4 linked regions of the Caenorhabditis elegans genome follow. The protein of the gene in region 1 purifies or fractionates together with the protein of each later gene. This does not show direct contact. Each region holds a gene or a part of one and is shown in the gene's direction. Other genes may lie near its edges. The genes, in order: W10C8.5, nspg-12, deps-1 and snx-3.

Region 1 (4,263 bases):
GTTCTTGGTATTTGTTCTTTGGTTTGGCTTGGAGTGATTTCTTGATTTTATTTTAGTTTTAGGCTGATTTTCAGCGGAAAAAGATGGGAATTTTTATTTCTCGATTGGCAATTTTTTTGGCATTGTTTCGGCAATTTTTTGACAATTTTGGCAATTTTTTTTGGCAATTTTTTGGGTTATGTTTGGCAGTTTTTTGACAATTTTGGCAATTTGCAATTGACAATATTTTTTCGGCAATTTCTTTGGCAATTTTTTTGACAATTTTTTGGCAATTTTTTTGGCTTATTTTTTGGCAATTTTTAGAAATTTTTAGACATTTTTTTGCCAAGTTTGGGAAATTGCAGTTGGCAACGTTTTGATAATTTTGGCCATTTTTTTTAACTCTTTCTTGCTTTGGAAACTTTCGGAAATTGGCAATTTTTTGAGCAAATTTTTAATTCTTGCTTTGGCAATTGGCAATTGCCAATTTTTTTGAAAATTTTAAAGCAATTTTCGGCAATTTTTAAACAATTTTTAGGCAATTTTTGGCAAATTTTGGCATTTTTTGGCAACTTTTTGCAATTTTTAGCTTTTTTTTAGCAGTTTTTTGGCAATTTTTAGCCATTTTTAACTCTTGCTTTGGAAGTTAGTAATTGCCAATTATTTGGCAATTAAAAAAAAATTTTTTTTGTACGTTTGAAATACGAAAAATATTTTTGGAACGCTTCACGAATTTGCGTGTCATCCTTGCGCAGGGATTTGCTTGCGATTTTTGAACATTTCTGACCTTTTTCTTGATTAAAATTTGAAAAAAGGACACGAAAAATAAAAATTTCAGTCGAAAATTGAAAAAAAGGAAGAGTGCAACACGGTTCTATGGGTGGAGCTTGAATACAAAAGCGCGGTAATTCAAATTAGTTGAAAATTCGCCAACAGCATAGGTTTTTCAAACTTAATAAAATGTTGTATTTTTTATTCTTTTGTGGTGTTTCGAAATTCCAGTTGCAGAATTTTGAAGTAACCATTTAAATTTCGCCCGTCGGTGTTTCCAGATTCTAGATGGGCGGAGTCAATACAGCACATTTGACGCGCAAATTTCTCGCTCTCTCTCAAATTCTCGATTTCCTTCTCGTTTGTTTTGTTTCATTTTGTTTGGTTGCAACTTTGGAAAGACAAACAGTTTCCCCAGGCTTATGATTTTTTCAATTTGCACGTTCTTCCTACCAGCCACACAAATTATTATCCCGTCAGAAAGTGAATGTGAAAAAAAAGAAAAAGATGGGCGGTTCGGAGCAGGAAGAGGAGAACGCTCGTTTTTCTTATTCATTTTTTTGTTGACGGCTCCGTGGAGCTTTGGAAAATACTTTTATTTGGGAATATTATTATTATTTATCACTAACACCATCAATTTTGGCATTTTTTGAAAGTTATGACGTCATAGATGGCATACAATTTGTCTTTTTGTTCTTTTACTTTTTGTCTGTTTTTGAATAGGTTCTAGTTTTTGAAATGCAATAAAAAATCGAAAGTTTAACCATTTCTTTTGTCCTGGGGATTTGGAAGGTTTCGAGGAAACAAGTGTCTAGACACGTCGTTATCATTGTGCTGACCTTGAAATTATCCAAAAAGGCAAGTTTAAGGATAGGTAAGGTAGGTAATAGTATAGTCTAGGCCTAGCCGAAGCCGAAGCCTAAGCCACTGAACAGTCTGAAAGTTTACCACCAATTCTCCAAAGATCGTGGCGAGACCCACCAGAATAACTTTTGATCTTTGCGCACAAAATAGGGTGCATCGATTCAGCGCAAAAATAAAAACAAGCTTCTCACGTATTTAAATTCAAAAGCTTGAGAAAAAAATTTTGAACAAAACTTTCCAAAACATTTTTTTAAAAACGTGACAATTTTCTTATCTAATTTCTAAATCTTTCCACGTGTTTTCCAAATGTCAACGTGTCATGAAAGAAAGCTCAGATTGATTATTACCGAAGAAGTTATCGTATTCAATTCGATCTCTTCTCAATCAACTCGTCGTAATGGCATCGCAATTTCTCCGTTCAACAAACTCGCGGTATGTCGCTGGAGTGCTCGCTGCCCTTGGAGCCGGATCCGCTGTCTACACTCTCACTCCACAGGTAATTCAACAGGCAATTTTCAGAAATATTTCCTCACGGGCTCTCAGAGTCCGTGCATTTTTTGAAATGGCAGAGGTTCAGCGGAACCTAGTCCGCGGCCATGACCAGCAGCGGCTCAAACAACAAAGCTATTCTTGCCCAGAGCGCTTGATTTTCCAGCATTCTGAAATTGATGAATTATTTTTTGTTTGAGCCGCTCCGCAAGCAGCCGCGTCGCGGTCGTAGCCGTGTTGAAACTCTGTCATCAAGATATGAAAGAAAATATTCCGGGAACGCAGTTCTCAGAAACAATGTTACAAATCTCTAAATATACTTTTTCCAGCAACTTCAAGCCAAATCCGAAGTCGACGCTGCCACGATCAAGAAGATCGAGGAGGCCTACGCCAAGCTCAATGGTCCAGAAGGAGCCAAGTGCAAGTCGCTGCTCAAGAAGCATCTGACCAAGGACGTCGTCGAGAAGCTCAAGACTAAGCGTACAAAGCTCGGAGCAACCCTTTACGACTGCATCCGGTCAGGTGTCTATAATTTGGACGCCGGAGTTGGAGTCTACGCTCCGGACGCTGAAGCTTACACTTTGTTCGCTCCATTGTTCGACAAGATCATTGAGGATTATCACGGATTCAGTCCAAAGCAGAAGCAACCACCAGTTGATCTTGGAGAGGGAAAGACTAAGGAATTCCCACCATTGGATCCAAAAGGAAAGTACATCAAGTCGACGAGAATCCGATGTGGACGTTCTTTGAAGGGATATCCATTCAATCCATGTCTCACTCAGGACAACTATCTTGAGATGGAAGGAAAGGTGAAGAAGGCGTTCTCTGAATATTCGGACAAGGAACTCAAGGGCAAGTACTATCCATTGGATGGTATGGGCAAGGATACTCAGAAGCAGCTGATTGCTGATCATTTCCTGTTCAAGGAGGGAGATAGACATCTTCAATACGCAAATGCCTGCAACTTCTGGCCAAAGGGACGTGGTATCTTCCACAATAACGACAAGACTTTCCTGATTTGGGTGAACGAGGAAGATCATATGAGAATCATTTCAATGCAAGAAGGGTCTGATGTCGGAGCTGTGCTTGACAGACTTATCAAGGGAGTTCGCGGAATTGAGAAGCAGGTTGATTTTCTAATAAGGCTCCGAAACTCAACATATTATGTTTTCCAGGTTCCATTCTCCCGTGATGACCGTCTCGGATGGCTGACATTCTGCCCAACAAACCTCGGATCAACAGTTCGTGCATCCGTCCACATTGCTCTTCCAAAGCTCGCCGCCCGCAAGGACTTCATCGAGATTTGCGAGAAGCTCAATCTCCAAGTGCGCGGAATCCACGGAGAACACTCGGAATCTGTTGGAGGAGTCTATGACATTTCTAACAAGGTAAATAAACCACGTTTTTTGTTGAAAAATCAACATTTCCAACTTCTCAGGCTCGCCTCGGACTCTCGGAATATCAAGCTGTGAAACAAATGTACGACGGAGTGAAGAAGCTAATTGAAATGGAGGAGAAGCAGAAGTAAACTGGAAGAAGAAGAAAAACTCGTTTAGTCATATTTTATTTCTCTATTAACTATTTAAATAAATGGTAGTAGAATGATTTCTATGTTTCTTTTCTTTCTCTCACTCTATCACCTACTTTTACTCTTTTGTTACCCACTTGAGCCATCATGTTTGCTCAATGGGGCGCCGCTTAGCGGACTGTCATACTCTCTATTTTTACCAGAAGCTTCACTACATTGCTTTTTATATTTTCGCTGCTGTAAAACTACTGTAAATGTCGGCGCCTACGAAATTGGAACTGATTTCCCTGCCTGGACGAGGACGAGCTGAGACTATTCGGTTACTGTAAGAGTTTTGGGATATTGGGCTCTAGAAGATTTTGGGTCTCGCAGCGACTTTTCGAGAATGTTCAGTAAATCGTGGTTGTATTTTAACATTACAATTTTTCGTTTTCTTAAAAGTTATGTCAAGATAATTTTCTTGACGGAACAAAAGAGTTCTATGAATGTTAAAAATTACGATTATTCCTCTAAAAATTAAAGCTCCAAAAAAGCCCGGTACATTTTTCTTGAATGTAAAAATACGTGCCATTTTAAAGAGTACTGTAATTACAAAACTGTAAAAGATCGATGAACCATGTCTTTCACAGCCT
Region 2 (3,420 bases), on another chromosome or scaffold:
GGTGATATGACGAAGGGTGTGCATAGTGAAATGTGAAATGTGAGGTTTAGAACGTGTCGATGATAACTTTTAAGTCAATGGGATTAATTATGTCATCATGATTGTATTATAATCTGATTTTTTGATTATCAGAAAAAAGAGCAAAACACAATTATTGATTAAATTTAGGTGGAGACAAACTACCAGGCTCAAGGACCCAGTGGAATGCGTAAAGTTTGCAAGTCAGTACTTCACTAGATACTCTCTCTCGAATCCTGAATATAATTCCAGAGCTTTCCGCGAGTTTAAAGTTTGCATGGGCTCTGAATACGCGAACTGCATGTCTGCGGTCCATTTTGTTTCTGTATCGGCCACTCCATTCAACGCTTATCAATTTGTTGGACTGTTCAACCAAATGCACTTTGTCTGTGGAGCTGGATTGCAAAGTATGAATTTTTATTGTCATTTCCCGACGCGATGTCGGAATTGAATTTTGTTGAGTACACAATTACACATCTTTTTGGCATGGTATGAAGTTTCTAGAATAGGTGGAAAACACGGGGAGTGTCGAAATCAAACTTTCTGGGGCTTGCTGCTGTGGTAATTTATACACATTATGAGACTCTTAGAGGAATTTCTGAGTTATGATTAGAATAGGCATGAATACTAGCACATATTAGGTTTAAAAAAAACATTCAAGAGACGCAGGAAAATATGATATACATGGGAAATAGGTCCATCGCTGACCACAACCGAAGTCGGCTGCGCATTTACTATAAATTCCTAATTTGCTCAGAGATCAGAAATCGATTAACACAAAAATAGCGCCTTATACAGACTAATGGATTCCAACCGTAACGAGGTAACTTTCTTCATTTCAGCATACCTCCTTAATGAGGGCTGTATGTCAACTACTTGGAGAAGCCAAAGTGATGTCCTGAGACAATGCCGACTAGATTATGAGGTGAACAGTGACGTTGACGCAAATCAGGCTTGCACGTAAGAAGACCATCGGGTATTATTAAAAAACGCCAACCAAACTTACAGACAAGCCAATAAGTACTTGATTTGCTTCGAAACTCAGTTCAAAAACAACTGTGGTGAAAAATCAAACGATGCCATGTTCTGGGCTTGTGAATACTCAAGAGTCAATGTTTTTACTCGATTCCCTCAATGTGCAGCTAGATGTGTTTGTAAGTGAAACTTGAAAATTGTGAAATCTAGTAAAATTGATTTTGTTTTTTTGCAGTGCCATATAGCGGAGGAATCATCGGATGAGTCGAATAAAACGAAATGATGTCAGATACAAACAAATTATTAACTTTTTGTCATTCAATCTTAACTATGTATTATCATTTGTGATAAGAATAAATTTTTATTACTGAGAAAATGCCATCGGTATAGTATATGACAATCTATTGGTGTGGCGATGGGGAACTTCATGAAAAGTTTTGAAAAAAGGGTTTTGAAATAAATATTGCCAATAGCTTTTTTGGGACGTTTTCAACATTTGGTATATTAAACATTTTGGTAGGACAACAGATTATAAGCAAATTATTATTGAAAAAAAACTATTTTTTGACTGTGTATCTTTTATAAATTGTTTTACTTATTATGCAATATTTGAAATAAAAAATTAGTTTTTTTTTCATTCGTTTTAAAATTTCACCGTCAAATTCAAATACAAGGTTCCGAAAATACTTTTTCCGCTTAGCCCATTTAATGCAATAATCAATGTCTTTTAAGCGTACAGGATTATTGATAATCACTTCAACTGATAAGGACTGCAATTCTTAATCCCATAAATGAAACATTTCCCTAGCTTTTCCGTTCCACGACATGCTGTTGAATGTATTGATTGCGGTGTTGGCAAGTAAGTTCAAAATGTACCCCCAGATTGATTGACCTTTTAAGCATGTTCAGTAGCACCAACAGCTTTTTGTGCATGCGCTCCTTCAACTACAGGTACATGCACTCCAGATTTACTTCAGTGTTGCGGGCTACAGCTCAAATCTGATCTAGGCTTGTCAAACTGTTATGGTAAAGCTTTTATAACAATTTAATTGAATGAGCTATCAATTTTTGAGGAATTCTTGCTTTCGAGCCTGAATGTCACCGTCAAGAAATTGAAAACATGTACATCAACGGTATAAGTGGTTTGTTCAAAGTTTGCGAGTTCGTTTTTTCATACTTACATTGTCTTTTGCCCATCGAAAAAAATTGATTTCAGCGCTTTTAACAAGTACTATGAATGTCTTGGACCAGCACGACGTGACTGCACCAGCATTAGTTATCACGTGAAAGCAGGTCTTCGACTTGGGTAAGTTGGCACAATTCATTATTTCTGTTAATCTTACCAAGTTTTCAGAGATGCCGTGCAAGTGGTGTCAATGTACAAACAATTCGGATTTGCGTGCGGAGCTGGATTTGAAGGTAGGTTTTCAATAATTTTTGAGCAACAAAAAATTTTAAATGTTTAAGGATTCTCCAACAACGATGTTTGTATGTCGAACATTTTTTCCACAAAACAAACTCAGATCAGCGATTGCCGTGCCACATTTGCCAAGAATTTGTTGGCAGATTATAAGAACCACTGCATGTAATGAAATATGATCAAAAATTTACAACATAATTAATTTTTAAAAAATCTGCAGGTACTTCGAGCAATATACCGGATGTTTCAATGCATTGTTCGATCACAGTTCCTGTAACTCTGAGAGCTCTTGGTGGGGATGTGAATATGCACGACAAGCTGGTCGAGCTGTTCTGCACGATTGCAGTCTTCAATGCTCAAGTAAGTCCAAAACAGATTAATGAGCAATTTTTATTTTTTCAGCATTCTGAACGCCGGGAAGAAATGCAAATGTTTTATCAATTTTGTGGTATTTCGATTTTGAAATAAAATATTTCGTATGTTTCAACAAAAAAGCTAAATCTAAAAGAGATACCATCAAGTTGAAATAATTTCCCATCCAAAAAAAATTAATAAAACTTTTATTACAAAACAGTACAATACGAAATGTTATTGAATTTCGTAGAACCAGATCAAATTACATATTGCGCCACGTTGTTCTAACATTATTCGTAAAAAAATAGTGTGAAAATGTAAAAACTCATTTAATTTATCCGATAATTACAATCATTTTAGCTGAAAGTGCTTCAAAAATGGTTGGAAATTGCCAAATGATGAATCGAATTTTCCAGCTTTATATTTCCACAATTGATATCTTTCAGGCAATTTTTTTAGCACGTTTATTAATGTTTCAGCTAACGTCGATGTTATTTTCAAGTAAATCAAACAACATTCTGTAGTTCGGCACTAATTTTTTTAATGAAAAATGTGGGAAAAAATAATGCAACTTTTTTTGTAGAATTGCCGAAAATAAATGCCACCCACCCCTGATCATATATGCATTGGCAGGCTAAAATGAATACTTGGTA
Region 3 (4,976 bases), 2.3 Mb from region 1:
AAATTTTTCTAGATTTTATATGATTTTTTGAAAATCGAAAAAATCTCAGTTTTTGCCTAATTCCTATTTGAATTACCGCCAATTGGATTTGTTCGATGGAGCGCGCTTGCACGTTTTTAAATTTATTTATTTTATTTATTGTTATTTTCCACCGATTTTCAATGTTTTCGGTGTATTTTTGCTTGAATTTTAGAGAAAAAGTTAAAATAAATGCAAATTTCCGATTAAAAAATCACTGAAAATGCGTAAAACTGAAAAATATGCTAGTTTCAGGTTTGTTGTCGTCGGAACTCATTATTTTACAGTTTTACGTATTTTTCACATTTTTAAACACTTTTTAGCAAACATTCTGCATTAATCTTGCTTTTTTACTTCTCTTTCCGATAAAAATACACAACTAATGAAGAAAATCAGTGACATAATAATAATAATAATAATAATAATAATAATAATAATTTATTACGCTCGCTGGGAGACGTGAAGGAATACAGAATACAAAAGTTATCATTGTTCGCTTGAACTAGAATTGGTGCAGTCGGGCAATCGTTTCCATTCCATTAAAATGTTGTCCTTGTCCTTGCGTTGTCCTTGCGTAGACTCCCCCATAGTGGGCGAGCGATTCCCGAGTGAAAATAATCACGGAATGAAAAAATAGAAGAAAAATAGAATAAATTAATAAAAAAAATAATGCAAGCGCGCTCCAACGAACGAGTTCAATTGGCGGTAATTCAAATAGGAATTAGGCAAAAACTTTTTCAGATTTTTTCAATTTTCAAAAAATCATATAAAATTTATAAATTTTTTTTGAAGTTTTTTAACGTGATATTTGGTCATTGTGGTACCATAGGCGTGTTTTAAAGCAATTTCCCCACAGGGTGTAGTCCACATTTAAAAATTAAAAATTAAAAATTCTACCTAACAAAATCGAAAATTTCAGATTCTCCTTGATTAAAAGCTTTATTATTGAGTAAAGAGTCCGCAGCGTCCACACGGAGAGCGGGTACAAGATGGAAATCTGAAAATATTTAGGATTTTCAAGGGAAAATATCGATTTTTTTTAGCAAAATACCACAGAAATTGCGGATGGAATGAGTAGAAGAGCCGGGTTGACTTTCCGGGGAAAGTTTCGACGTGTGATGCTCGTCTCGGAGAGCCTCATTCCCAAGAATCCGGTTGCGATGCTGAAGAAAATCGATGGAAAAAGTCTAAAATATCCCCTGAAACCCTACCTAAAAATCAGAAAATACGAGAAAATATTGATTAAATTCCGAGCCGGCACATAATTCGGGCGGATCAGCACTCCATTGAAGTTTCGAAACGTTTCGCCGTTCCACTGAAGTCCATCGAAGCCGGGAACGGATGGCGGCTCGAAATGCTCGTCGACACTCATTTGACTGGCCCTGTAGAGCCCGATGATGGCAATGGCGAGCATTCCCACTTCCACATGGAATATCAGGCTCTGAAAATTAAAATTTAGCTTTTAGACGGAAAAAATCGATTACTTTGACATGAACTTGATCGAAAAGCCAGCGATACGGGTATTTTCGGTGCAGGCGGCCTGATTCCGGACGTGCTCCTCGAGATATATTGGAATTTGTCGAGCGGATACTAATATCTGCCATTTTTTCGCTGAAAAATCAGAAAAAATAAGTTTTAAAACAGAATTTTAATGGAAAAATAAACGGAAAAATTCGAAACTTTTTTTTCCGCCATTGAACACCAATGTGCCTTTAAGGTACGGTAGCTCTTCGTGGTGAGACCACTGCGCCGCGCATCTGATTTCTCGTGGGAAATTTGTTTCGAATCCTACGTTTTTTACAGATTTTTCTTTTTTTTCGTTTCGCTCATCATTTTTTTGTTGCAAAAAATCCAATTTTCAGACAAAAATGTCAGAACGCCAATCCAAATATTTTGACTATCAAGGTATCGTCATTTCCTCCACTGGACAAGATAACCAAGATTCGGAGACGGACCTCGTTTATCTCATTCAAGCTCATGTACGTGAATTCCCTCCGTTTTCATATTTAAAATAATAAGCTCGTTTTCAGGGAAAAGCGGCCCCGAAGAACATCATGTACGGTGTCTCCAAGTGCGCATTTGTTCCAACAAACTTGGAGAGGAATTTCGATAATATCGAAGAGGCAAAAAATCTTGAGTCAGTATTTATTTGATTTGAGCCCATTTTTAATCTGTTAACACTTGAATTTTTAGACGTCGATCCAAAATCCCGCTAAAGTTCGGTGAAGTCATCCTATGGAACGAATCGGACTGTGATCACGATAAGAGGATAATCCTTCATATCAAACGAGAAAAACCAATTTATGAAGCGTCTTCCAGCAGAAATGGACTTATTTTGAAAGTCGGTGGCGTCATCCAGCCCACCTCAACGACCTCGTTCTGGACGCCATTATGCACCGTCACCATGCGTATGTTTCTTCTTGATTTTCGTCTCTCTAACCATATATTTATTTCAGCAGAGACAGAGGCGACCCGTGCGGAGCCAGACGTTTGGCTATACGCCTGGATTCGATTCGAAACTACCATGAAGAGTGGTCTAGATCCTTTCAATATGACTGCAACATTCGAATCGTTTGACAGTTGCGATCCATCCGACCAAGCACGCGTCTGTGAAGCGGTATTTGCTTTTTAAAAATTTTTTACGGGATTTTGAACAAATAACTTTCAGCCATGGAACGCAGGCTCTCCTGACTCTAAATTCGGTGTTTGGCGCCCGGATCCAAAGCCTGCTGATAGCGACGACGAAATTGATATCGAGCCGAGAGAAGGCTGGCACTTGCCAGAAGACAAATGGGCCGAGGTTAAGGTTGCTTTGTGGATTCTCGTTGACAATTTGATTTTGCAGGTCATCAAGATGCAGCTTGGCCTGTATGTCGGCGAACGCCTACTGATTTGCAAAGAACTCTCGCAGTTCGACTTTATTATCCCACTGCAGAAGCCATTTTCCCGAGGAACGGACAAGACTTTGATCTACCCAGCCGTCGGAGAATACTTTCATTTCAGTGCTATTTGGTCGATGCAGCACAACGGTTTTCTGATCTATGAGCTTCAGCCAGTTCCACTTCTCAGACAGCATGTAACCTCTGTCAACGGAAATGTAAGTTATAATATTGATTTTTTTGTCCAGAACATAATTTTTATTTCAGCTCCTTACCCGCGTCGTTCCTGCCAGTATCAGAGGTCTCTTCGTTGACAAGGAGGGCACTCTTGGATTGATTGATGACCCACACCATCTTCTTTCATTCTTCGAGTTTCATCCAGCTGGTTATGAATTCTTGAAGGCTATGGTAATCATGAGTGGGTCTTATTTTGAAACAAACGCTTTCAATTTTCAGGCCGAAGTTCGTGCTGTTCGAACTTCAGAAAACAAATCTGTCCGTTACCGCATTGTTCGTACATCGGGAATGTCCATTTTTGAAAACTGGCTTCGTGATACTCAGGTCTCTAAAGTTAAATTAAACTCGTCCTTTTCACCCCTGAATTTTTCAGTTCGTTGTTGGTCCAGTCAAAGGAATTCGAATCAATGAAGACACTGTCATTTGTGCCAAACATCCGAATGTCTACTTCAAAATCCCCAATAACTTGAAGGAAGGAATCCCCATTGGCGGAGGAGTTCAATTCGTTGGAAAGCGACAAGCTGGAGTCGACAGTGAAATTATGATCACCGAATGTTCTCCATGTCCAGCGTTCACTTGTAAAAATTACTCGGTCTCTGGTGATACGGTTAGTCTTCAATTATTTAATAGTTTTTATTCTATGAGGAAAATATTCAGCGCTTGTTCCAAGTGTACTTGAAGCCAAATTGCGATCATGAGCAGTTGGCGGAGAGTGATTCGATGGGATTTGTGGATTTCAGAGAGTTGGAGACTCCATGTAGAGGAAAGTGAGTGTGTCAGGATTTGTAAAAATAATTGTAACTGAATTTTAAGGTTCCTGGCATGGGTCCGTGAATCCATTACTGTCAATGATTGTCGCCGTGCTGCTACCATCATGGAAGTATGCTCGACAGCCATCTGTCCTCCGTTGATTGCAATGAGCGCGAATTCGAGCAGAGCAACATCGGCCAGAACTACGCCAGCTGGAAGTTCCATTGGATCCAGATCATCAATTCAATCAAGAGCATCTGCAGCTACTTCAGTGAGCTCAAACGTAAGTTTATTTTTAAGGTTGGAAGATGATAAAAACAAGTTTTTCAGCGATTCGTTGGCCCTTCAAGCCGCAGAACTCCATCTGGTACTCCACAAAGCTCAACATCTTCCAGGGTCTAATTAAATATATACGCATCCCGTTTTCCCCCGTATTTGTGTTTCAAATGTTCTGCTCATTTTTAATCTACCCGTTATCCAACCAAACATTTATTTATTTAAACTTCAAGTTCCACCACCATCCCATTCCGCACAACTTGTCTCTCGTAATTTTCTCGTGCTCTAATGAAGTTGTGGTAGGTTATTCTAGTGAATACACCCATGTTAAGCAGCGAATACATCCAGAAAAGTCCCAACAAGCCGGCAGCGAGATACTCCCCCCAAAATGATGGTTGATCGGTACATCCAAGATAGGGTAGCATCGCGATAGACGTGAGCAAGTTCGTTATGCACTTGAAAAACTGAAATTTCAGAAAAGATTAGGTGTATCAGAAGGTTAAAAACAAACAAATGACATATAGATGAACGAAGCCAGTGATGGAATCGGATTCCGAATACGAGAAGCCATTCCCGGAGATACTGTGATAAGAATCTGTGTGATCGAGAACACAATGAGCACACCCACCGGGAACATGAATTCCATGGAAACACGGAGGCAAAGGTCACAGTACTGCAAAAAATGCGAAATTTTGGCGATTTTTGCTCTAAAAAATGCACTGGCCGGGTCTCACCACGACAAATTTTTGTTGTCAGTTGAATGCCAATAGAGTGTGCGCCTTTAAGGAGTACTGTAGTTTCAAACTTTTGTTGCAA
Region 4 (3,456 bases), 6.2 Mb from region 1:
CTAAAATTCTCACCTTTCGATCCTTATCTTCCTTGAGTTGTGCGTGTTCACTAAGATGTTCAGGAGCATAAAGAATCAATGCACCTTCATGATATGGATCAAATAGAGCACATTTTCGACGGTTTCCACCAAGACCTAGGCTTCGACCAGATACTGAAAACTCGTTTAAAATAAACATTTTTACATGTTTTCTTACACATATATCCCTCCATCGGAATTGAAAACTTTCTCGACAACAACTTCGCAATCATAGCATCGTGATCTGATGATTCGGAAGCCATACGTCTAGAGAATACATCGATATTCACAAAACGTAATGGACTTGCTTCTTCTACAGATACAGGTGGTTCTATGGCAGGCAGTGCCTTCTTTCGTCGTCGAAGACCTTGTTTTGAAGGAGAAACTGACGTAGAAAAAGGGGAAATGAAGGTTTTGTGTATCTGAAAAACATTAAAAATTACAATTACAATTAAGTTCCGAATTGTATTTCATTGCAACTAAAAATATTAATACATTTTTCGGTTCCTCCGTTCGTCCTGAATATCCTAGACTTTTCCGTTTTTGTGTTGGAGCAGTAGAGCTTGTGGAAGGTCTGAAAATAATATACCGCATTTCCTCTATTAGTCTTGCATGCAAGACTAATTTTCAATAGACCCGTAGGGGTGCAAGACTAATAGGGACTGCAAGACTATTAGAGGCTACAAGACTAATTTTCGAAGATCCAATAGCTTTGTTAAATTGGCCATTTATCGTCAAAATTTTGACTTGAAACAGTCTAAATCATGCAAAATACATGCTTTTCTATTGTTTTATCAATTACTTGAACAGTTTAAAATTTAATTTAGCTAAAAAATGGCGAAAATTTTGAAGTTTTGACAAAATACTGCTGGCCTGGCAAGAATAGGGGTGCATGACTATTACCGTATTTCCTCTATTAGTCTTGCATGCAAGACTAATAGAGGGAATACGGTATGTGTTAAAATTTGAATTTTTTATAAAAGCTCACAAATTTTCCGGTGTAACTTCTCGTTTCCTTTTTGGCAGTTCAACTGGGATATTAACATCTTTTCCATGACTATCTTCTAAATTTTCGAACGTTTTTTTTGGCATTCCTGAAAACTAAGAAAATCTTTAATTTCGCAGAACAACTGAATAAACAAGTAGAATTTACAGAAATTCAACAAAATTTTTAAAATGCTCTTTTTATTCAAAAAGAACGGCGCCGCGCCATCTTGAACGAAAACAAAGTTTCGAAGAAGACGAAACACGGACACAGGGCGGTGTCAGCTATTAATTTTCAATTTAACAATTATTTTACAACATAGATTTGTTGTGAAACATTTTTTTGCTTTTGAATCAATTATAATCTTTTTAAAATTTTGAGTCATAGCGAGTCACTGCTTTTTCATTCCATGAATCTGCGGTGTCTGCTTTTGAAATTTCAGTTTGAGGTACGGTTGAATTTTTTGTGTGCATTAACACAAAAGTGTTTGCGTACTTTTGCCACTTTTTTCATTTCTTGATTCGTTTTGTTTATCGGCGCGCGATGAGTCATTTTTGCCGTAATTTCCTTGAAATTCCAGTTTTATTTATTGATTTTTCACAGCTTCATATTATTTTTTCCATTTTAGTTTGCCGAACAGCGAAACAAAAAGCAAACGATGTTCTCGCATGTTGTCGATTAAAGCTTTGGATTCCAACATAAATTTCACTTTTATTTTGTTTATATTGTGAAAATCGATACTTAAATAAACAATTCAAAGCAACTTTGATATAATTTAGAATATTTGCAGTGCAAATGGCATCCGGCGCGTCGGCAACTCAGCGGATCCCTTCAAAACGGCAAACGCTGGACGAGGCATATGCCCCGCCGGCCAACTTCCTTGAAATTGAGGTTTGAATAAAAATCAATGAATTAGATCAAGATAACTTGCAGGTTATCAATCCTATCACTCATGGTGTTGGAAAAATGCGCTACACGGATTACGAAATCAGAATGAGAGTAAGTATAGATTAACACTGACCGCATAATAAAATCGTTGTTTCAGTCGAATCTCCCCGTTTTCAAGCAGAAAGAATCAAGCGTGCGTCGCCGATACAGTGATTTCGAATGGGTTCGTGCTGAACTAGAGCGAGATAGCAAGATTGTGGTTCCAACGTTGCCAGGAAAATCATTCAAACGGCAACTGCCATTCCGATCCGATGATGGAATTTTTGAAGAGGAATTCATTGAAAATAGGCGCAAAGCTCTCGAGTTATTCATCAATAAGTACGTAAAACTGTTCAACTATACGGACATCAAAATGAACTCAGAAAATTTTCACATTTCTAAAAGTTTTAATAATATGTTCTTGCAGGGTTGCTGGACATCCACTTGCTCAAAACGAACGCTCTCTCCATATTTTCCTCCAGGAGCCAACTATTGACAAAAACTACGTGCCTGGCAAAATTCGTACCGCTTAAATTTTAAAATGTTTCTAAATTCTCCGCTCACGAGAAAAATCTCAAAATACCCAGAGTTATAGTTTTAACGCTGTCTGTTTCAATAAACAGAAGGAAACTTTTAAAAAATGATAATGTTTTCTTATCATATTTTTACATAACAAAAAATGAGTAACGCTTTCTGATCTTTTGAGATATTTAGTTTTCAAAAAGTGAGTTTTTAGAAGCTTTTTTCCAATTTAATCTCGGCCCATCAAAATATTGTTTCCATCCCTCCACCAAAATGCGGTATTTTTCGAAATTGTGTACTTTGTCCCCATCACCACTTCTTTCCCATTGATTTCCATTTTCTGGCTCCTGTTTATTTCATATTTATTTTTACATTTTTGTGTATAGTTTCCCAATTTCCCAATTGATTGCACTATTTTTATTGCATGAACCCCTTTTATTTGAACAAATATGAAAAATAAGTCTTCCGTTCCTTGATTTCGTTTCTTTGGATTTTAAAGTGGTAAATTGGCAGTTGTGTGCATATCGCAAATATCTTGAGTGTATCATTAAAACGAGCATATCTTTAAGATAGACAATTTGCAGGGTTTTCTGAAAAATGTTCCTTGAGAAGATAAATCAAAAAACCGGCGAACGAGAATGGGTTGTGGCTGAAGAGGATTATGATATGGCTCAGGAACTTGCCAGGTTTTCAACTTTAAAAAAATATTCCGCATAGAAATAAAATTTAATAAACAATACTTCTCGCATTTTCTTGCTTTAAAACGTTAATTTTCAGAAGTCGATTTGGAGATATGATTCTGGATTTTGATAGAAATGACAAGTTCCTCGCAGGATTAAAAACTACGATTGCTGAGAAAAAACATGAAAATACAGATGGGAAAGTTCATGTTTTAGATATTGGTTAGCTGTTAAGTTTTCAACTTATTCGGTTTTTAAAGTTTACTATTTACAGGTACTGGAACTGGACTTCTTTCACTAATGGCTGCTCGAGAAGGAGCTGAT

The links.
Region 2: the proteins of W10C8.5 (region 1) and nspg-12 fractionate together in Caenorhabditis elegans (co-fractionation; one large-scale study listed by BioGRID). This does not show direct contact.
Region 3: the proteins of W10C8.5 (region 1) and deps-1 fractionate together in Caenorhabditis elegans (co-fractionation; one large-scale study listed by BioGRID). This does not show direct contact.
Region 4: the proteins of W10C8.5 (region 1) and snx-3 fractionate together in Caenorhabditis elegans (co-fractionation; one large-scale study listed by BioGRID). This does not show direct contact.

The regions. Positions count from the first base shown.
Region 1 is NC_003279.8:2,853,419-2,857,681, reverse strand, and holds W10C8.5 (arginine kinase), read left to right. Parts: upstream 1-1,949; 5' UTR 1,950-2,011; coding exon 2,012-2,110; intron 2,111-2,239; exon of another isoform or gene 2,240-2,387; intron 2,388-2,432; coding exon 2,433-3,230; intron 3,231-3,278; coding exon 3,279-3,491; intron 3,492-3,541; coding exon 3,542-3,631; 3' UTR 3,632-3,707; downstream 3,708-4,263. Other genes in the region: W10C8.4 (Glutathione S-transferase), read left to right, coding at 3,886-3,956.
Region 2 is NC_003284.9:5,255,491-5,258,910, forward strand, and holds nspg-12 (DUF19 domain-containing protein), read left to right. Parts: upstream 1-1,808; 5' UTR 1,809-1,818; coding exon 1,819-1,852; intron 1,853-1,902; coding exon 1,903-2,019; intron 2,020-2,066; coding exon 2,067-2,154; intron 2,155-2,209; coding exon 2,210-2,299; intron 2,300-2,347; coding exon 2,348-2,412; intron 2,413-2,460; coding exon 2,461-2,578; intron 2,579-2,633; coding exon 2,634-2,773; intron 2,774-2,815; coding exon 2,816-2,823; 3' UTR 2,824-2,894; downstream 2,895-3,420. Other genes in the region: nspg-13 (DUF19 domain-containing protein), read left to right, coding at 169-221, 271-425, 861-978, 1,027-1,172, 1,229-1,257.
Region 3 is NC_003279.8:504,591-509,566, forward strand, and holds deps-1 (P-granule-associated protein deps-1), read left to right. Parts: upstream 1-1,882; 5' UTR 1,883-1,886; coding exon 1,887-1,997; intron 1,998-2,048; coding exon 2,049-2,155; intron 2,156-2,211; coding exon 2,212-2,426; intron 2,427-2,474; coding exon 2,475-2,635; intron 2,636-2,686; coding exon 2,687-2,818; intron 2,819-2,863; coding exon 2,864-3,115; intron 3,116-3,164; coding exon 3,165-3,305; intron 3,306-3,353; coding exon 3,354-3,458; intron 3,459-3,507; coding exon 3,508-3,741; intron 3,742-3,791; coding exon 3,792-3,901; intron 3,902-3,947; coding exon 3,948-4,167; intron 4,168-4,214; coding exon 4,215-4,286; 3' UTR 4,287-4,381; downstream 4,382-4,976. Other genes in the region: Y65B4BL.4 (Dolichyl-phosphate-mannose--protein mannosyltransferase), read right to left, coding at 916-1,015, 1,070-1,181, 1,230-1,459, 1,503-1,622; Y65B4BL.7 (uncharacterized protein), read right to left, coding at 4,382-4,624, 4,672-4,833. UniProt on the Caenorhabditis elegans protein: Component of P-granules which is required for P-granule formation and integrity in adult germ cells. Promotes the accumulation of glh-1 mRNA and localization of pgl-1 to P-granules. Involved in RNA-mediated gene silencing (RNAi) in the germline.
Region 4 is NC_003279.8:9,062,741-9,066,196, reverse strand, and holds snx-3 (Sorting nexin-3), read left to right. Parts: upstream 1-1,793; 5' UTR 1,794-1,798; coding exon 1,799-1,894; intron 1,895-1,936; coding exon 1,937-2,002; intron 2,003-2,048; coding exon 2,049-2,269; intron 2,270-2,357; coding exon 2,358-2,463; 3' UTR 2,464-2,919; downstream 2,920-3,456. Other genes in the region: rad-54.L (DNA repair and recombination protein RAD54-like), read right to left, coding at 14-153, 197-440, 514-592, 1,007-1,110; prmt-7 (Protein arginine N-methyltransferase 7), read left to right, coding at 3,050-3,138, 3,230-3,354, 3,407-3,456.